Styela clava: one gene and its partner. The protein of the gene in region 1 interacts with the protein of each later gene in a pairwise test. Links are inferred from orthologs where the notes say so. Each region holds a gene or a part of one and is shown in the gene's direction. Other genes may lie near its edges.

Evidence for each region.
Region 2: the proteins of axin-1-like (region 1) and glycogen synthase kinase-3 beta-like interact in a two-hybrid assay, tested with the Drosophila melanogaster proteins (2 studies listed by BioGRID, with this or other methods). The link is inferred for Styela clava from reciprocal best matches to the Drosophila melanogaster genes Axn and sgg.

Annotation. Positions count from the first base shown.
Region 1 is NC_135256.1:17,127,315-17,138,209, reverse strand, and holds the start of axin-1-like, read left to right. Parts: upstream 1-5,284; 5' UTR 5,285-5,399; coding exon 5,400-5,566; intron 5,567-5,787; coding exon 5,788-6,078; intron 6,079-6,609; coding exon 6,610-6,733; intron 6,734-7,495; coding exon 7,496-7,702; intron 7,703-7,926; coding exon 7,927-8,048; intron 8,049-9,727; coding exon 9,728-9,878; intron 9,879-10,450; coding exon 10,451-10,622; intron 10,623-10,895. Other genes in the region: ATP-dependent RNA helicase DDX19A-like, read left to right, coding at 7-109, 1,124-1,240, 1,846-2,043, 2,255-2,429, 3,341-3,408.
Region 2 is NC_135253.1:9,238,200-9,249,479, forward strand, and holds the start of glycogen synthase kinase-3 beta-like, read left to right. Parts: upstream 1-6,409; 5' UTR 6,410-6,469; intron 6,470-6,890; 5' UTR 6,891-6,939; exon of another isoform or gene 6,940-6,946; intron 6,947-7,497; 5' UTR 7,498-7,508; coding exon 7,509-7,668; intron 7,669-9,520; coding exon 9,521-9,616; intron 9,617-9,924; coding exon 9,925-10,019; intron 10,020-10,270; coding exon 10,271-10,354; intron 10,355-10,979; coding exon 10,980-11,090; intron 11,091-11,280.

The DNA of each region.
Region 1 (10,895 bases):
TCTCAGGAAATTATCAAAGAACTGCCAATTATTACTCTTCTCAGCAACTTACGAAGAAGCAGTCATGAGATTTGCCAGAAAAATTGTAACAGAACCAAACATTATACAGGTACTCCATGTTAGAGCTAAGATCTGAAGCCCGGGCCCGACCCGAATTTCGGGCCTGAAACATCAATCATTACGTTAGGGTCGGGCCTGAAACATCAATCATTACGTTAGGGTCGGGCATGAAATGTCAATCATTACGTTCGCGTCGGGCCTGAAATGTCAATCGTTACGTTCGGGTCAGGCCTTCGGCCTTCGCTATCGCTGACTTTTTTCAATTAAATATATGTCTATAAAAAATATATAATAAAATCATGTGTGGATACTAAACTAAGGAATGCATGTTATAAAAGAAATATTTTGAATAAAACAGAAAAGAAGCTGTAATGGCCCTTTTCTCGACTTTTGATCACCGAAAATATTCTTTCTATACTTTACCATTGCAAATTTTTCGAGGCTTATTTTAAGAATTTCGGGTTTGCTTCGGGCTCGGGCCTGCAAATACAGTTAATTAGTCGGGCCAGGTTGGGTTTAATACCCACGGGCCCGAGTCGGGTCGGGCTGGAATTTTTGGGCCCGATGTTACCTCTACTCCATGTGTAGAAATCACCATACCCTTTGATCAACTTATATCGGAAGTGATTTTATAAGAAATACATTTCAACTATAATATGACTATTCGAAGGTTTCAAGACAGCTGCTATTGTTAAAATTTTTAAAAGAAATTTATATGAAAATATTCAAAAAAAAAAGTTGTTATTTAAAGCTGGTATGCAATCCTAGTTTGAAGCAATATTCACCAAAGTATTCCAACAAAAGGTTTACAGGAGTTTAAAAGTCAAAAATATGTTTCTACTCATTATCTCGAAGCAGCTTTTTCAAGTTTTGCTCTTTTGGGTTATAATCCTCATATTGTAATATGTAAAATTTACACAGGTTGTCCAAGAACATAACGCTATGATTTGCATCTTTTCATTTGTAACCATATCTTTATTACATCATGTTTGTCTTTTTCAATAGTTTGCTTGTTGTAGCCATTGCTATATTTGTAAACATACACTCTTTTTATCATTCATAGCTGAGAAGAGAAGAAGAAACATTAGACAATATCAAGCAATATTTCGTCAAATGCACCAGCAAAGAAAAGAAAGCCGATGCTTTGTCTAATATTTACAGTGTACTATCTGTCGGCCAGGTACTGGTGTAATTATTTATAGAAAATTTCCTTCCTGTATTCTGAGCATAATTTACTATTTCAACATCTTCTATCCTTCTGTGATCGGATTAGTCTTTATTGACACTAATATAGGTTTTCTTCTTCAGAACACTTGCAAATTATAATGAATGGTCATATGAAGGTGCAAACTAGGGATAGGATGAGATTCTTATTTGAGTCGAATCCACACATTTTACGACTCAAATTTGAGCATTTAATGTAAAATCTATATAATGTTCAAATAATATGTAAACTGGTAGTCTATCCATCTTGGATTGCCAGATACTTTATCTCTACTTTATAAATTAGGCTAATTATGCCTGGCCAACAGTTATCCAACATTGTAGCCTTGACCCCAGCATGAACTTCACTAATACTTTTCCCAGAGTAGTTATGAGAGAATGATGTGTAATTGTTGAATTTGATTTTTAATTGTTACTCACTGAACTGATTGGCGTTTTAACTTGACCCCTCTCTTTCTGGAGTGTTCACTATTTTAATTTTCATGATTGGTTACAAATTTTTGTATGCAATGTCTTATTTTGTTGAAACTAAATTCCAATCCATTTAATATTTTTTGTCAGGCAATCATATTTTGTGCAACAAGAAAAACTGCGAAATGGCTTGCACAGACGATGTGTGAAGGAGGATTTGTTGTTGCCTTGCTAAGTGGAGAACTGGATGTTGAACAGAGAGCTTCAATTCTACGTCGATTCAAAGCTGCCAAAGAGAGAGTTCTTGTAACAACAAATGTCTGTTCGAGGGGAATTGATGTGGAACAGGTAAATTTTCTAAAATATATTGTATGCTTATTCATATATATATATATATATATATATACGCTACCTCATATACTGAAATAATCTGAACACCATCATTTTTTGTCATATTGTTTCAATACAACATTGCATAAAAATAAATAGTAAAACATTGAAAAACAGACCACAGAATTTTCTTCTTTTTTCTCAATTTATTTCCCTTTATGTTAAACAGGTCACACTGGTTGTGAACTTTGACCTTCCTATCGATATGCAAGGAAGAGCGGATTGTGAAACATATTTGCATCGTATAGGTCGCACTGGCAGGTTTGGAAAATCTGGAATTGCAATCAACTTTATCAGCCAAAACAGAGATGAAATGGTTTTGCGAGAAATCGAAAAACATTTTGGTGAGTAGTGTTGATACCAAGGTATTGATTAACCAGGTTTTCAATGTCTGAGGGTACAATAATAATGATGACATTTTCTAATACTGCTATGATGCAATTCACTAGAAACAATCATGGAAGTGGCACATGACAAGATGTTAGAGTTACGAGTCTGATTTGACTAATCCGAATAATAACTGAGCTTAGAACTTAAGTTGAATCTTCAGAGTTTGTGATTTCACAACAGATAACAAAAGCATGTTTCACAGATAAATTGAGCCACATATACGTGGTTCATGCACCGAAAAGCACATAGACATATTTTCTGGCCACATTAGGGACAGTACGCACCTAGTATGTTACGAAAGAAATCAATATTTTCCAACAAGACCCTGGTGATAGATACATTATGTTTTCAGAGAGCCTATGTGGTCGATTGAATGATTTTGACTAGATATTGTTTGTGCTGATCTTCGGAGGGATGGAAAGTACATAGCATAGGTTTCAATTAGTAGATACAGAATTTGATTGAGACCTAATATAGAATCCTTGTCCCAAAAATATGTGGATTCTAATTAAATCAAGTTCTGATCCAAATCTCGACCCATCTGTACAAAATATATGCAAAGACATATTTCAAGATAAATATTTTTGTGTCTTCCAAGTGACATTCTTTATTGCTGAAATTATGATGCTATAAGTATCATTTTGTTTATCCTGTCCTTTCTCTAAAGAGCACTGATGGGGCCAGAGAAAGGTTGTGGAGAAAATGGGTATATATTATTCCAATAATCGTCTATTTTTTATCAGGGGTTTACTAACCCTTGTAGTCAATTGTTAATGCCAATACTGTATATATGTATATAGGCATAGCATACTATGAATAAGGGTAACAGGGACTTATTACTAACGTTATGGTTGTTTTATTTCAGGAATTAAGGTTCATAACTTGGACACCAATGATTTTGATGATATGGAGAATAAGATTGGGGAAAAGTGAACAGAAATCATGCACACATTTTAGACTTTGTTTTGAAATTTCGTTTTTTGATCAGTTACTACTTGCTGAACTTTTTTATTCAATAAATAAACAATTTCTTTCTCCATTCCAAAATATTCTTCTCTGTTTTACTGCTGTAGCTGAATTCGGTGTTTTGAAATATTAGTCAGAGAATGTGAGTTTACAACAGTGTATTTATCATGAGTACTTTATCATTGAGTGTATGCTCAAATATATGGACACGTCACAAGGTGCCACTATATTTTATTCTGACACATAAAATACGAATCTCCGCAGAAATTTTTGAAAAAAGTAATAGCCTTATGGCGAAAAAATCAATCTTTAACCACTGAAAATTTCTAAAGCAATTGGTCCAGTATTCGAAGAGAAAAGCGATTTTATAATGGTGATGAACTACAACATAATATTGAAACGATCGTTATGTCGTGTCCAATACCGTGTTTTCTCGAAAATAAGACCTAGCCTGGATTTTAAAAATCATTTTAATATAAGCCCTCCTCTTAAAATCAGACCTAGTTGATACGCAAAATTGTTTTTGACCTAGTCGGTAGCAAAAATTCTCTCCTGCACGCTTTAAACGATTGATAAGCTAACTTTAGCAGTTGATTTGAATAAAAAAAACGTGTTATTTATAAGTAAATAGATAACGGCTTTCATATTTTGTATATAAATTTGAAAATCTCGTAATTCTTTACTTTGTAATTTTGTTTTTATTAAATGAAAATATAAGATATCCCCCGAAAATAAGCCCTAGTGGTACTTTGCGGAAGTAACTTGAAATAAGACCCAGTCTTATTTCCGGGGGAAACACGGTAACACGACTCAGCCCGCAGGTGCACAGCTGAAAACCACGGGTCTGGGCTGGAGTAATAATTGAATTGAATATCAATCTGAAAAATATGTCTGAGCACTAAAATTTCAATTGTTGTCTCATCTTTGGCATCTGCTGATTAACCGATGTTATCGAAATAAACATGGGTGTCGATGGTCAGGGAAACATCCGCTGAACAAAATAAGATTAGCCTTGCTGATGAAGACATGATGGAGAGAACATCACCCTCTTTGTTGCCCTCACCATGGTAAACGGGGATTTGGCGCCACATAGCGGCATAGCTGAAATTCGGCATATCAAAGGACATGCCGCGGAATTCGGCACTGATCAAAGACTTCGGTTGGGCCTGACGAGCGGATGTTTTGAGGTTTTGCGAAACTTGGTTGACTGATTCGTAGTCTCTTTTGTTCCTTTATATAGTTTTTCCCAGCTAGTAAATTATCAAATAATTTTCAAACACACCAGAATAGTTACGGTATAGGTCGTTTTAAGTCTGAAAGTACAGCAGTTCTACCAAGGTGACTCGTGACTGAAAAATGAATGGCATGGATTCATTTTCAAAAATTTGATCAGTATCAACTACAGCAGACTACGTCTAAAACTGTACCGGTACGCTTGAATATAAGTTGATTGTCGAGGGTTGGTTGCTGAATTAGAGGATGACAACGAGACCAAATCAGAGAATTCTGGGATTAGCAGTCGATTAGACGGGACTTGTGAACTTTCTGATTGCATTGCTGTAGATTTATACAGATGTACTGGTATACTCCAGAACTTATATAAATCAGTACAAACTGTATAACTTTATTTGCCTGTGACAGTAGGCTATGACCTGTTGGTTTATAGTACAGTAGTATTACAGTATTATCATATTTGTACCGGTATGTAGTCGCAACAATTAAAACTGAAAGAAGCTATTATGACTCAGAAATAATAATATAGTCCTGTAGACTAGTCTATTATGATATTATTATATGCAGATATGAGTTATCGGTTCATGTCTGTAATGAAATACAAATTTTCATGATATTGTTCAGATCATTCTAATATCATACTATTGCTTATATGTGAAATTTAGTATAAAATATCAAATGAAAATGGTTGAAAAATAATTACAAAATGCACCAAGTCAAGCAGCATGAATAACTTTGGGGTACAGTCGTTTTTACAAGGCCATAACTTCACAAAGCCATATGCAAGACCCCCTGCCATTGGAGAAGAAAATGAGGTCACATCTGTTGATGGACGTATGTCAACACATAGCAGTGTGAGTGGGAAATCCGAACTGTCGACTGCAACACCCAGGTATATTTCATAGGTTCTTTTTATTTTATCGATACATTCCAGCATTCTGAGTCCTCCAGTTGTATGTTTGTGTTTTATTTAGTCTTGTTGATAAATACAATTTAATTCTAAAAGTTCATTCTGGAAAGCAATTGACTACGTAGATTAGTATATGTATCATTCTTCGCTCATTTCTCGAAGTTTTAAACCTAACTATTCTGAAATTTGATTTTTTTTTTCAGGCGAACTGACATAGATCTCGGATTTGAACCAGAAGGAAGCGCTTCACCTCTTCCTACTTGTGATCGATGGAGATCATCACTTCACAATATGTTGGAAGATAGTGAAGGAATTCGATTATTCAAAATATTTCTTGCTGATAGCAAAAGACAAGAATTATTAAATTGTTGGTTAGCTTGTAAAGGATTCAGAGACTTTGGTACAAAAAATAATTATTCAAATAATTCTTCGGCTGCTTCATCAACAACAGGACCATTGACAGCCCAAAGAACTCAGTTTGATGCTGTAACTAGGTGAGAATTATTCTATTGGTAATAGTTTTGAAAGTATATAACAGAAATATGGAACTTGCTCGAGCACTGTAATCCACTGGCTCTCAACCTTTATCTCTTGTGGCCTATTTTCAGCGTCAAACAAAATCTCAGGCTCACAAAACCTTCGAGTATCTTAAATGTTTTTATTTGAACATTACCAATACAGTAAAAGTGTCAATAACAAAACTAATCCATGTCTATTTATCAACTTGTCAATTTGAACTACCAAATGAGGGTTCAACCTCGAGCATAAATCACCTCTTTTTTTTTCAATTTGTACTTGATGTTTTCTTGGGATCTACTGTAGGCTCAATGAAAACTTCAGGCCTATTTTGAAAATCTGGTTGAATTGAATTGTAGTTTTCTATTCTAAGCATATCTACTGGATCCCAATTTTATGTCTATGCAATTGTCCAATACTATTTCAAAATGGATTACCAGCTATTTTCTTGTACAGATTGTGCATCATTGCTAGTTTTGTATTCATGCATTTGTTGATTATATTTTCAGAGGAAAACTTGCAAAGACGATTTTCAATACTTACTTGAAGAAAGATAAATGCCATGCAGTGTCAAGTATCATAAGAGATGCGACCCGACAGTATATTTGCAAACAAATAAAGAATGCATTGCAGGTAAGTTTTTTTACAACATGAATATATAGTATAAGTAATAATTGTATGGTAATAATGAATATCTGAATTTTGACATTGATTCCCAGCTTAAATTGTTCTATCAGTATCAGATATAAACTAGACACATCACTTTTTGGTTGTCTAACTGTGCCTTTCAATAGTTTGTGTTATGATTTTTGATAGAATTGAAACCATGTTAATGAATGTCAATGAACACACTATGTATTTATGTTTAATATATAATATTAAGGTGGACCGTTATCAAAACCATGACAAAGATATATGGTTTAGGGCGGGTGTGCAACAAGCGGACCATGACCCGGCCTACTAAGCCATGTAGTTAGGCTTTTGTGAACAATCTGATTTTCCTAATTAAGCTTACAATCATAATTCGAAAATTTATGTTTAAAAGGCGCTCATATGGTAAAATACATAATGTTTTATTGCGCTTGTCAGTTGTCACTGCAATTAATCTTCTCTGGTGCTACATAGAAAAACTAAATTTTGTGTGGCCCAGGTAGATGTATGAAGTTTGTTTTATGGCCCACTGCCAAAAAATGTAGCACACCCCTGGTTTAGGGAAGAGTTTGTGTTATGTTCTTGTTATGCACAATGTTTGAAAAAACAAATGACTGGGTTTTGGTCAGTCCAATTTCCAACTCAAGAGCTGATGATTTCATTGGATGTAAACTGTACAGTACACTGCCCTGTTAGTCATTGAACTTGTAGAAAAGTTTTCTCCAACAATGCTTCTTTTTTTAGGCACAGAAAAATATGTCTTGTTCTGTTGAACTAGACGCTTCTCTGTTCGACCAAGCTCAAAACGAAATCGAATCCAATATTGAAGAAAATTCATATATTTCATTTTTGAAAAGCGAACTTTTTCAAAATTATGCTGCACAATGTGAAAACAAACCCAGTAAACAAAGCCCTCAAAATGCATCTACACTTCATCATTCCGAAAACAAGGTGAGGTCTTGATTTTGTGCAATTTTTCATGTCAAAAAGTGCTTCTCCACATATTGAACTTGCCTGTCACTGTTTCTTCATGTATCGCATTTTGATTACTTGCAATCTGATGTAACTTGAGATGATTTATATAGTTGGTTCCTTATGATACTTAAAATTAATGTGAAGCCTGATTATTTTAACCTATAGCCGACATATGTTTTTTATTTCAAAATTGTCTCCAGAGTGCACCATCGAATGCTCCTCAAGCTGCTCCAACTGAATTGACGGTACCTGAGGGCAGATATGGATATTTACCAAGACTCGATGAGAATCGAGAATGGTCTTTGCCACCTGTCCAACCAAAGTAAGAATTTTTGCTATTCATTATGATCATTAGCTATTAATCATCCTAGAGCAGCGGTTCTCAAACTATGGGTCGCGACCCACTGGTGGGTCGCAAAAGGAATCTTAGTGGGTCGTTTAAAGATGTAAAAAGCTTTGATTAATTATACTGGGTATTAGGATCGGTGGCGACTCGAATATGTAAATCCTAAAAAAAAAAAAAAAATTAAATTGAATTTAAATTCTGATCTGTGAAAGTTTCCTTTTTACGATCTTCTCAAAGGAACACAAATTTGCTACACAAAGAATGATCATGTGGCCTTTTTACGCATAGTAGTTTTGTACACTGTGCAGCACTTCTTTCCGTGTTTTCTCGAAATTTAGACAGGATTCAGATTTATTTTCTTTTGAAGAATAACACTATGTTTTTTTTGGAAGAGGTCTTTTGTGTTCATTTATCAAAAATAAAATTACATTGTAGAAAATCATGAGATTTTTTAATAAACATTATATAAAAACCGACATCCATTGTTTTTAATTTGTAATTTCCTATACAAAAATCAAGTGACAAATTATCATAATTGTGATTGTGACATCACACAATCGTGAATAGTGGTGTGATCTTCACCTTACCTCAGGTCATTGAACCTTTCCTCTCACATTTTAAATTTATTTTAAGGGAAGGGTTTAATTAAAATCATTTTTGAAATTCAAATTAGGTCTTATTTTCAGGCCAGGTCTTATTTTCGAGGAAACACGATAGTTTTGCGATGATTAGCCATTGCTGTGTTCTGTGTTATGTCATAAAAAGTTAAATGGGTCGCCATAAGCTGTGGTAATAAATAGTGGGTCGCAACTCTAAAAAGTTTGGGAACCACTGTCCTAGAGTGAACAGGATTGATCCAAATTCAATTATATTTAATGTGCATGTGCTGGTGGTTGTAGCGTTAGACTTAACCCTGTTGGCTTCGCAGGTTCAAATGCCATGCCCACCTCACCCAGGGTGTAAAAAATGGGGTAGGTAATCCGAGCTGCTTATCCTCCTAAAAACAATATCTCCTTTCACATCATTAGATATAGGTGGCTGCTGTTAGGACCTTGTTTGAAGTGAGAGGTGTGAATTAGCAATGTATAAATGAGAATATCGGTCAGAGACCGAAGACTTATCGATCGAAAGTTAGGGGATCCCCAAAACAGCGCTCCTACTCCATAGTGACACCTTGTGTCCCATCACTAATTAATTACTTGCTAATTATACGACATAATTCGCCCAAAATCAATAGGCTTCTGGTCCGAGATATGATGGTTACACATGCAAAATCTGAAGCAGATTCAATCTCGCTTTCGTGAGATATCGCATGCATCTGACAGACAGACAAATACCTATCAACATACTTACCGATTAAAATCTATAAGTAAAAAGCAGTATACCAGGGGATTTGTTTGTTATTTATTTATGCATGAAAAAGTTATGTTCTATGAGTTTATGTGCCAGTCTATAAATAAATATTTTTCAAATGAAGTTATTCTAAGAAGGATACGAAGTGATTTGGAAATGTTTTGGATTTGTGTTGAACTAGATCGAAAAAACAATAACAATATTGCAGTTTCTAACTATCAGCGCCTACTTTGGTAAATGTAAGTTTGGTTCATTATCTTGACTTCAACTATCGGTAATTTAAATTATTTTTTTATATTCAGTGATATCATATCAGAGGCAAAAGATAAAGACCAGACATTGAATTCTTCAAGGAGGAGTGGAACAGCATCACTTGCACGTGTTGTAATGGAAAGGAATAGAGCTGCTTCACAGTATGAACTATATTCAAATATGACGGACAGTCTTGACCAGGTATGTGACGGTATGTGCAATATTCACATGCCAATAAAAATGTTTTTTCTGATAAGAGTTTGGAGGAAAAATAGTAATTTTTTCTTTGTGAAGTTTGTTTTCATTAGAGGTGTATATAGACCAGGGGAGACCAACCGGAGGGCTGTGGCCCACCAAGGGCAACTGCGCTTCAGTTAGAGGGGGGGGGGCAATTTAGGGGGGGCAATTTAGTATGGTTTATGGAGAAATCTAGAATAGGCTATATGTAATTTACATTGAAATAAATACAAAGAAGACTTCAGCTAGCAGTTTTACTACCGGTTCAAGTGTTATCTAATCCCATTTCCCCACCCCTCCCCAGTTGTAAAATATTGTGTAGGCAATGCAAAACCGGCAATATTCTGTTCATTCAAAATAATAGTAACTTCTTAAATATTGATGGCTGCCTGTGCAGGACCTTTTTTGGAGCGATCATGTGTAAATATGCTTTGTATAAAAATTACGTTTATTTCAGAAAGTAAAGTTCGGGAGTCTGGTGCATATGTATATCATCATTAACCTATATCTAAGTTTTAACTTCTGTGACATTTTAGAACAATCCTGCTTATCCTTATATTGCTGCTCCTGGTGCCACGAAATACTATGTACCTCCTGCTTCTGCAAATGCTAGCGACAATGCCTCATCTGATGCTACTTCAGACTCTTTATCCATGACTGATGGAAGTGTCGATCTTGACGGAAGTTCTGCGTATTCATCAAAGAAAAGTATTTTTTTTATCTTATTTTTACATGTATGTTCAGTCGTGTGTTTATTATAATATAATAAAATTATGACTCAACAAAAAAAGCAAAATATGACAGAACAAATAGGACAAAGATTTGTCCCAGCAGAAAGACATAATGTTTTGTCTTTCTGCTGTCTTTGTCCTATTCGTTCTGTCATATTTTGCTTTTTTTGTTGAGTCATAATTTTAATATGCTATTTGCTGAGCCATGTTCTGTCCTATTTTGCTTTTTTGTTGTGTCATGATTTCGATA
Region 2 (11,280 bases), on another chromosome or scaffold:
TGGTGCACAAACTACGCAAGCACCAAATTTACTAGAAAATAAAATCAATAACTTTTAGGTATTTGTTGAGATATTTGTATTAGTGTTTTTCGTCAAACCTGTGCATCATAATGACGCACAACCTGAACCATAACCTACGACAAAGTACGGAAGCACCAAACAGAAATACTGTTGAAACGTACGCGTAAAATAAAGAGTACTATTTCAAAATACCCTCTATTGTTGCAATTAACGATACAAGCCTGCTAATGCAGTCGCCAGTGGTTCAAGTGGATATACACCCGGTGGAGAACAGTCAATTATTTGTTAGCGAGAATTGTTATGCAGCGGGATGATCACGACGGGCAGTGAAATTTAATGATATCACGAGAACAAGAATGAGAAAATTGCTACATTTTATAGTATTTCCCTAGGAAAGAATGTAGTTCATTCTTATGTTCCATGCCAATGCTTTTCAAACTACCAAAATCTCTCAACACTTTAGCTTCTTCTCTTCTATAAAAATACATTGTTATTATATATTCGCATTTCCATCTGTTTGTTCTTGCTCCCAGATAACCGATCAGCGGCCTCTAAAGTGGACGGGGTCCCTGTCATAAACTAAAAGAGGCGACCGTGCTTCTCTTGCCTGTTGTCATGTTGTCCCTGGAATTCAGCTACAACAAAAAATTCACGAAAACGGATTTTTAAATTTTATGATTTCATTAATATTCTCAACAATGAATGATATACGGGTGATAAAATGCCAAGTTATTCCAACAACATGATCATGTTTTGCAATTTACAGCCAATATTATGTTTGTAACTTTGTTTGACAGAGCCCCAAGAGCTCTAACTACAAATATCAAAAATGTGAGGCCAAAAAAGTCACACTACAACATTGTCAAATGTGCCGTATTTACGATAGATAACAAGTTTACCAAAAAGAATTACATGAAAAATGGTAAAATAAAGATCAATTCAGCAATATCTACTTAGCGATATGCATCTGTTGATGATTTTATGTGTTTGTTTTGGAAGTTTAATAACAGAATTAATTGTGGTTGTTGGGGATGTTTAAAAAAAGGTTGCATGGAAAAAAAGTTTTCACAAAATGTCAAGGTTTGATAGTAGTAGAGAAGTAGAAAAAATACTCCCATGTTTTTTTTTTCATTTGATAACCACGCCACAGAACTTCTCCGATAAGTATACGCAGCAATTGCGAGAGGCAGAAATGCCAAGATGGGAATTCATCGCATTGCAAACGAATATTAGCAATTCTTATATATATTCGCGCATCCCCATATGAACAGCGTGGAAAAGATTATACCTATCTACACACTTTAAGAACTATGTCAGATGAGCGTCATATTATCGAATATCAGTAAAGGAATAGTGCAATGGGAAAAGACATATAAGGCGGAACTTTCAGTAGTATGCAATCAAATAATCTTATTGTAGAAGATATATTTAAAAACATTTCGTCACGCCAACTGCAGTCCGAAACTTTTTGTCTATGGCTGAGCTTAGATGCCAATTGACACTCATGTAAACTGGACTGTAAGAGGCACGCGATGGAGCAGATACTAGGAGTATCCATCCCCCAGCTGACATTTGAGTGGGTACTGCTGTTTTTATTGCAGATGTTACTGATCTTTTTGTATTAAAGATTTACTGGAATCACCGATTTAGGGATGTTGAAAACCAACACGCAATATTACAAAACTTACTTTCAACACGCGGTTTGAATAAATGAAAAAGCTGAAACTAGTATTCTTTAGAACAGCATACAATTCTATAGAATGAAATCATACACAAAAGCTCGTCAGAAACCTATAGATCAATAATCAAGTGGAATTTGATGCATGTGCGCAAAAATGTGCGCGTTACTACGTACAACCGAAGCACGCAGGAAAATGTGTGTGATGTACTAGCATTCAAAATGTTTGACTAAACTATGTTGGCATAACAGGTGCACATCTCGGTTTCACATACGCATACCTTCTATCTCCACAAGGATATATTAATTTTGCCAAAGTCAATGCAGCACTGAAAGGTTCCGGTTCTTTCAAAAGAAAACACGTTACACATCGTTAAATACCAGTGGATGGTTTTACATGGCCTTGTTCGGAGTGAAAGACGAGGTCAAATATTCCAATCCAATTCAACTAATAAAATATTTCCAAGTTCCAAAGCTTAAACTAGGAAAACGAAATGCGCGCGGCAACGCAAATGTAGTTTGAAGAGCGCAATAGAAAGTGGCTAGTTGCTGTCGATGGATCTTGGCTTGTATTAGTGAAATAAACCACCATTTATTCTACTAAAATTGAATTTCTGACATTGTAAGGAGATTTAATGTTACTATGTATGCAAAACTAAACCATGTAGTTATGAAATAATTGTTTTTAACAAAAAGGCGCTCCTGAAGTATTCGTACCAAGATGACGCACAACCTGAACATCGTATGTTTACCAGGTTAGGGTTCAGGATGTGCGTCATCTTTGTACGAATACTTTAAATCCATTTAAAAAAAGTGCTCAACATTATATACTCCACACCCACCTGGGTATCATTATATATGTCATCTACAAATTCTACATTATATCTAAACAATAAAAAAAACTTTATGTCCCAAAACAATGTTAAGGCCCGATTCTGCCGGACTATCAGCGACGCACCTAACACTGTCACTCATGACTACGTACTAGTGAAAGTTTAAGAACAATTCAAGCGTTTTAGTAAGGCTGTCTAAAATAATTTTGCACATTTCCTGATATTTTTGTCGCCATACGCAAAAACTTTATCAACCCACAACAACTTTTCAGAATCATTACAAAACCAAGCACAAAAAATCACGAAGTTGACTGATTGTATTAATTTATAATAATCATATTCGTTCATCGCCGAAGGGAGAGAGGAAGATAAATAGTCTATGTTATTTTTTCAACCACAAATGCAGTCATCGAAACAATATTGAATTGTACAAAAGTAACAGCGATAAACTGCTCTGTTATGAACGGGAGTAATACATACGACCACGCAAACGGTCTTCAAGTCAACTACCGAAATTTTCTCCTGGATGATTAAGATGCAAGATTGAGGGTTACTAATGGGAAATGTTGAACGTTGTATAATTCAGTATTAATTTACAAAAAGTTATAACAAATTTGGAGGATTCTTAGGTAGATTCGTTGTAATACGAGTGTGTGTGGAGGGGGTGGGGTCAATCGCAAAATAAACTAAATATATTATAATAATGTGGCGAAAGTGTGTCACCGAACATGCGTATGTGCGAAGGAGTAGTAGAATTGAAACATTCGTAATATATTTAAGAGAAAAAGTACACAGTGAATCGGGGTGAAAGGCATTGTGTATTTTATTGTTGTGTATTTTGTGGTTATAATTTTTAAGTACGGCAATGATACGCCATCATTGTCTTTTGTTAGATTCGTAATGTGAATTTCCATTTAAGGTGCGCTAAATTCTTCTGTTGGTGTTAATATTTTAAAATTCAACAATATACTAAATGATAGTCCATTTCGGCTACTTGATCTTGTTATTTATTTTATCCATATTTTTAAAAGATAGTTTTAGTTGTTTTATTCGCTCTTTAATAAAACTCGGATGCGAAATGAGTTATTTGCGAAAAATAGTCCATAAGTTTCATAATCGATGAAACAGCGCACAGATACCGTGTCCATTGTTTCTCTTGGGCACAGCTTTCGCGGAAAGCGAATGGCAGTTTGCTCTGGCGTCGCCTTTTTCGTTGGCGTTTGCGCCGCGCTTGGTTGGAATCTCTTTTCAACTACCAGTATCGTTAGTGTCATCTTTGGATTACCATATCTCAGCTTTGTAAGATTTACACATGATATTTCTAAAAACCCACTATTTAGTTATAGTGTCGATAAAGTCGAATTTTGGGACTTTTAAATGTCAATTTATGGTAATGTTACCGTACTACTTGATACAGTGATAGCCAAATCCGAAATGTCATAAAGCATAATTTATAGCCTACCTACAGGCGGAATGCAGAACTGACTACGCTAATGCTGTGTTGTAGACACGTCTAATTTTGGAATTTTATGTCTTTTTACTGTTTTACAGTTTTACTAAAATTGATTGACTTAACTTAGTTATTACAGTATTTTGGTACCCGTAACTTAGGACCATCAAGTGTTATATTGTGGATTTCATTACATTTTTCGATTTCCTTAAAAGACGCCAAACCAAAAATGGATGTGAAATTTTCACGTTTTTTTTTTCAAAAAGTCCGTCTGGTCCAGATTAAAATTCTTGACAGACGCGTTTAGCAAACCCACTCAATTTTCAACTGAGCACGTCATGCCAAACAGAGTAACAATAGCTTTCCGCGCGAGACCAGACTATTATTTTTAAGAAAAATTTAAATTTAGGTTGTATTTTCACATTGGATTTTTGTTTCGCGTTAATTACGCAGTCACAGGATGATTTATAAATCCTATCCTATTTTTATCACATTTTTGTTCGACGTACTTCGCTAGAACCATTTTTTCTAATAATGGTTTATAACCAAAGTTTGTCTTGTTCATTCAGCATGCTTCTGAAACTGAAATGAATTTAATTCTGCCAATAAAAAACAGAGACACATAATTTTCCAATCTACGTCTACTGTTTCCAGATTTTTGTATATCAGTATATTGATTTTATTTTCCTTTTTAAATTTATATTTTAAATAAATGAATAAGTATATTAAATGCATTTTTCTGACGGTATAATGGGTTATTTTCAACAAAAAATAAATGCAAAAATGGAAGCCAATGTGTTTGAAAAGTTAAGATAAAGAAAGACTTGATTGGTTCTTCAGTTTTGTCAACTTTCAAAAGCATAGCTCAATCTAATTCTTTTGGCCTGCACTTATAGCAGCCTACCCTTTTTCACAATTTTATTTTTTCTATAACTAACAATACCTTTAATCGAAGAACTTATTGAGGTTAAACCCATTTCCAAATTCTCTGACAAAATCACATTATATTGTATTCAATAATATAAATCAGTAAATTAAAAAGTATTTTATAATAAACATTCAGTTTTAGTGATGAAGACGAAAACATTTACAGCATTTAAGAAGGGGCTTTTTTTACTGAAGTTCGAAAACCCCTTGGATTGATCATTTGGTAACAGATATCAAAGTACTAATAATGTTTTTTTAGGGCTATACTGATGGGTCTGGTCACAATTTTAACTATGACATAGAAATCGCGGGTCTCGTGTAGTTTCGTACCTAACGTACTTCTAGTGGGCGTAGCATAACAATTTTTTGATATGTCAATCCTAACCCCCATCTGACTACGCCATCAAAAAATTAAATCACTACGACATCACAATCACGGCATAGAGCTTGCCAAATATACGCACGATCGACCGAAACGGCATTGGCGCCGACGATAAAAAACTGACTGACGTTATCGGTCTCTCTCCTATTGGAATCGTTGCGACGAGAGAACTAACTGTTCGATTTCGGGTGCTCGTTTGCGCGTCTTGGATGGCAGTTCGTATAGTTTGAAGGGCTCTATTACATCAATGTGACGTCATAATGACGTAATTTTTGGATGGTGTAGTCAGGTGGGGGTTAGGATTGATACGTGAAAAAAATTTCATGCTACGCCCACTAGAAGTGTGTTAGGTAAGAAACTACATGAGACCCGAAATCGCAACAGTATAACCTCGTCAACATAAAATTTTTTAGGGGGAAGTGATGTAATTTAGCTCTTCATTCAGACATTGCTGATGGTCTGAATGTCACTCACGCTGACAAAAAACAGCTGTGTCAAAATGTGTGTGTGTGTGTTGTCAGGGACCCTGATGTTACTGTAGAATCTGAAACATTTTTCTGGACGCCTATTTGCTTTTTTTCTGTGCTTGCCAAAATCATAAGTATAAATCGATTCTCTATTCCTAGAAGCAAGAAAATCCCAAATTTTGATCATATCGTACATGCCATCTGTATATCTTGATACTATTAATTCCTATTAAAAAAAAATGAATAAATTTATGTATTGTGGTATTTTATAATTTATTTGAAATAGTCCAGTATTCGGTTATGGCCATGCCTGGTGTATATGTATAGCCAGGAAAAGTGCTTGATACCAAGATTACTTGTCTAGAACAAGTCTTTCACTGTTGTAGAGATTAAATTTAACTAATATTATGCCTAGGTTGAGTTTCCTATAGTGCCTAAATTTGTATTTTCTCTCTTTGTCTATTTGAAAACCATGTACCGGTAATCCATGAACTAAACTTGACCCATATGACACGATATTTATCTGCCTGCATGTAGTTAAATCTGTCTAGTTAGTTATCATTTCTCCCGAAAGTCAAGTCTGTATACTACTTATTTAGGCTACCTTATTGCAATGAGTGGAAGATTTATCTTGACCAAAACTTCTCCCTTTTTCAGGTTTTTAGGTAATTATCTGATTGATTTTAATTATTTTACAAATTAATATATCTGGTGAGTTATTTTCATTTGAATATCACAATATTATGGGATAATTTCAACTTGTTAAAACAATTTTCGTACTACAGCAATAGCCAGATTATATTTTTTTTTTATATAATTGCCATTTAAACTAAAAGTTTGTATCTGTTATATGTACCAAATTTTACTCTGTACAATGGCATAAATTATCAGTATGGTGTTTGTAATCTTGATTATCCAAGTCGTTAATAAAATAAGTCTTCTATTACCAATAGGAATCTTTTTATTACTTTGTTAATTTGGATTTTTTGTCATTTTATTGTATTAAATATGCACCCATAATCCAATTATCTAATACTGTGAAATATCAGTTATCTTACTGTTTAAAGTTTAAACCATATATAAATATTGAGTATTTTATGTCTTAGTTATTCAATAATATTATGCTTTTTAGAATTAATTTCAACTTCAAGTGAAAATGGCTGTTTGATTTCTACAAAAAGGTACTAGGTACTATTGTTCATTCTATATTTATATTATTTGAATGTGGACCAGGCTATTGATGTTAGAAAGGACATGCGAAATGTCATATTTGAGCGTAATTAAATATTGTATAAAATTGTATAATACATCGCCTTATTTTTCTGATTATGCGAAGAAAATGATTAGTATCAGAAAGAATAAATGATACCTTATGCTAATGATTTGGTTTCTGAGAGACTAAAACCACTTATCCTTCTTTTATGTTGTTGTGCCGCTGTTGATCCGTATGCATATATTGCAAGGATGCTGTAGCAAAAGTAAAGATAACTAACCTATGTGATTTAAGAGTCTTGTTGCGCACTAGCACAAATATATTTCTGTAATGTTGAACATAGTTGAAATATGTATGTCTGAAGAAGTCAGACGAAACGTTACAGAAATATGTTTGTGTTAGTATGCAGCAAGACTCTTTAAATCACATAGAATAAATGATAGATTGCATTTTAGAAAAATATCGCAGACTGAAGTAGAATTTTTTGATACTTGCATCCATAAATAATACTGAATATTCATTTTAGGTTTTCTTACTATGAGTAGTTGTTCAAGAGGGGTGGAAACGTTTAATACCAGTGATAGGTTGTCAGCTGCAACGTCGTTTAGCACCAAAAAGCTGCTTGGACCCAAGGGCGACTCACAGTTTGCATCACTTAACCATGCTCGTAAATTTGAGGGAAATATGAAAGTCAGCCGTAAGTGACTTTTTTTATTGATAAATATTATATATAAACATAATGCATGGGATCTATTTGTTAAAATGCCATGTAAGAGATAATACCTATAGTGCCTCTAAGTGCAATAAGAGCTTAGTTTTATCGTAATCAATGATAGAACTTGGATGCCAGCTAGATTTGCTCTCGAAAGTTGAGTTAGCTTGCGACATATCAGATAAATTATCACTCTTGTATCACCTAGGTGTTTATTATTTGTTGTGTGCCAGATCAGAATGAATTATAATGGCCTTGTTGTTTGGGTGTTAATTAATATTGAAGTAATACACAAATTCATTGAAATTAGAAGTTTATGAAATGTATTGAGGCTAAAGTAATTTCATGCATTGTAGGCTTTTTCTAGAAAAAAACATATAATTTCAAAATAAAATGAATATGACTGGTAAAACTGGTGCAATGAATGAAGTTATAAAACTTTCATCTATTGGAAATGTTATATTACAACTTAGATTTGTGTGAAATTCTTATTAAATATTTTTGACTGAAATTTATGCCTAATTTGAAACAAATTTTCTTGTTCTAATTCAACAAATATACAATATCTAGCTCACTGAAACGAATCGCAAAAAATAATAATATAATCCTAATGTATTTGATGTATTGGTGTAATAAATCTGATCAGATATACCAAACTTGAAATAGTCTTTCCAATCCTGATATCATATTTTGAGAAATCATACTTTATGACAAGATTCACGAGGTAGTTATCCTGAAGCGTGAATATTCACGCTTTCCAAATTAGAACAGTACGTGAGGTAGAATTTTAATACAATTTCATATATTATTTGGTTATAAAACATCATCCTCATAATATCCTGTGACAAGCAATTACAAAACGATTAAAAGTTTGAGACGGCTGTAACATGTAACAATGGTTATTTCTAAAGATCACTCAATTCATTATGATACCATCACAGTATTATGAGGTTTGTAAATTAAAAGTACATGATTTATGACATGGTGATGCCAGTCATTGCTTTGGCTTGAATCAGTTGATATACCTGTCAGAATATAACATGTATGAATCAGAATTTTGTCACCGATTACTAAAGCTTTAGCTTTGTAACATTGTATTGTAAATATATCTATGTTTAATTATTCTACAAAATGAAATAGGCTACTTTTATTGAACATTTTTGTTATTTAATTCAGCTTTCATAGGTGAAATTTACATATAGATTTCTCGAAGTTATTACACGAAGTATTCATTTGTTTAGAAGTTTAATGCTGCTGCTGTGGCAATAGATGTCAGTTTTTGTATAGCCTGTTTTTTTTAATCTCATTCATATGTATGTTTCGATTTTATATATTCTAAGCATATTTTAAATGTTAAAATTTGATCAGGAAATTATACATTCAAATAAACTTCTTCAAACTCACTATTTTCATGTTGATCTCTAGGAATTTTTCACAACTTGTATTAATGTATAGGTGTACTGTACATTATTGATATCTCACTGTTCTTTAGTAAGTTCTGATTGTGTTTAAAATATTCCCAGGATTCCCAAATCATGCTGTTGGTGATTGTGTTCAATCAGTTTTAGCAGGGTATACACATCTTTCAGTTTTTCAAGTCACAATCTCTAGTACTTTTCTAAAGATAAAAAGATATCCCAGGCCTATAAAAAAATGCCTTTTTATTTTGCATTCAAAGTAGTATAATATGAATTACTGTGATTGTATTTTTATATCTATTAGGGGGAGATAGTCTTGAGCTCCAAGATAACAATTTGAAATGAGCTATTGCTAAATTGTATGTATTTTATTAAGACTAGAATTTAAGAATATCATCTGAAAATGTTTTTCATTTCAGGCGAGAAAGAAGGTAAGATAACAACTGTTGTTGCAACTCCAGGACACGGACCAGAAACACAGCAACAAGTTTCATATACAGACACCAGAGTTATAGGTAATTACTGGTATATGTCGATTTACTTTACATTACAATGTAGATGGATTGATATGTTCTTTTGCTTTACCGTATAAAATATCTCTATTTTCGACTTAATTTTGCATCATTTAATCTTAGTATTTGGTATTATTGTATTCCCAGAATCCTAATCATTTTCTTATCTTATACCAGTGGCAATTCAACACTGTATTTAATATTATACCGCTGTTATATTGTAGACGTTGCGCAATAGTAAGGATCTTGAATCTTTGTTGCAAATAAAACAAATTTTGAAATCATTCCATATGAATTTCTTTCTTCTTTAGGAAATGGATCCTTTGGTGTCGTTTATCAAGCAAGACTCGCAGACAACAATGAAATGGTTGCGATTAAAAAAGTTTTGCAAGATAGAAGATTCAAGGTATTTGCTGTAATTGTGAATGAACTAGAATACTGATACAATAATAACTTGTTTTTTTATATAAATGGCTATTACATTGTGGGACCATGTTATGCATAAACAAGCATAGAAATGATATTTGATCAAAAATGTTTGGGTAGAATGCAAAATTTGCTAGATTACAAGTCAGATCAAATATCCTAATTTGAACATGTAAACCAATTATGACTGTCAAAAGTTAGATTTTGAAATTAGGTGTTTTTCCCTTATAGAATCGCGAACTTCAAATAATGCGAAAGCTAGATCACTGCAACATTGTCAGTTTGAGATATTTTTTCTACTCAAGTGGAGAAAAGGTTTGTATTTGCTTTTGTATTCTAACAATTTTCTACAATTCAGTTTATATACTGCGTAAAGGCAAAATATATAGGGGTTATTGTGATTTTGGTCATTTTTTTTAAGACCACCACCATTTTACCATATTATTAATAGTTTGTAATTTTATTTAAAAGTTTGTGTATTTAATAAGGAAAGATGATTCTTTAAAACAATGAAAATGTTCGTTTCTAATCCAAAGTATGATGGTGGTTCGTGTAGCCAGAATTTGAAATCAGAGCCATACCCTAAGTATAGATTATAAACTAAGTATAATATCTGTATTTTAGACTAAGAAATAGTAAAAGCTCTCAGCATATACAAAACAAGCGTCAAACTAACTTAAATTATTTCATCAAAAGCAAAAAAACTTTCATAGGCTTGGGGTTTCTCTAGGTTGAAGTTAAGGTCACATTACTTTTCAACCCCGATGTTTGAAGTTTGAGTCATCTCCGATTTTTTTTTTCAAAAGTTTGTCAAATGAATTTTTATCTGAATGCACGATCCTAGTTATGATAGCTTCTTTTTAAAAGTTATATTTCCTATTTTTCGTATCGAGAGCTTTGAAGTTTTAATTACCACGACCTTTTCGCATATCTTTTCCAGAAAGATGAACTTTATCTCAACCTTGTGATGGAATATGTTCCAGAAACAGTGTACAGAGTTGCTAGACAATTCAGCAAAAATAAACAGACTATTCCAATTCTTTTTGTCAAGGTGTGTAGTATTAGGTATATATAATGACTCAATATGAATACCGGCTTTGTTTGTTGGAAGCGCTATTGGAAATGAATTTGCATAAATTGATATTTGGGTATATACATAAAATAGGTTTCGCAAAGCTGCTAAAATTAATTTGTACAGGATTTTGTGCTATAATGTAATTTCTCAACTTTCGGTTCTGCGA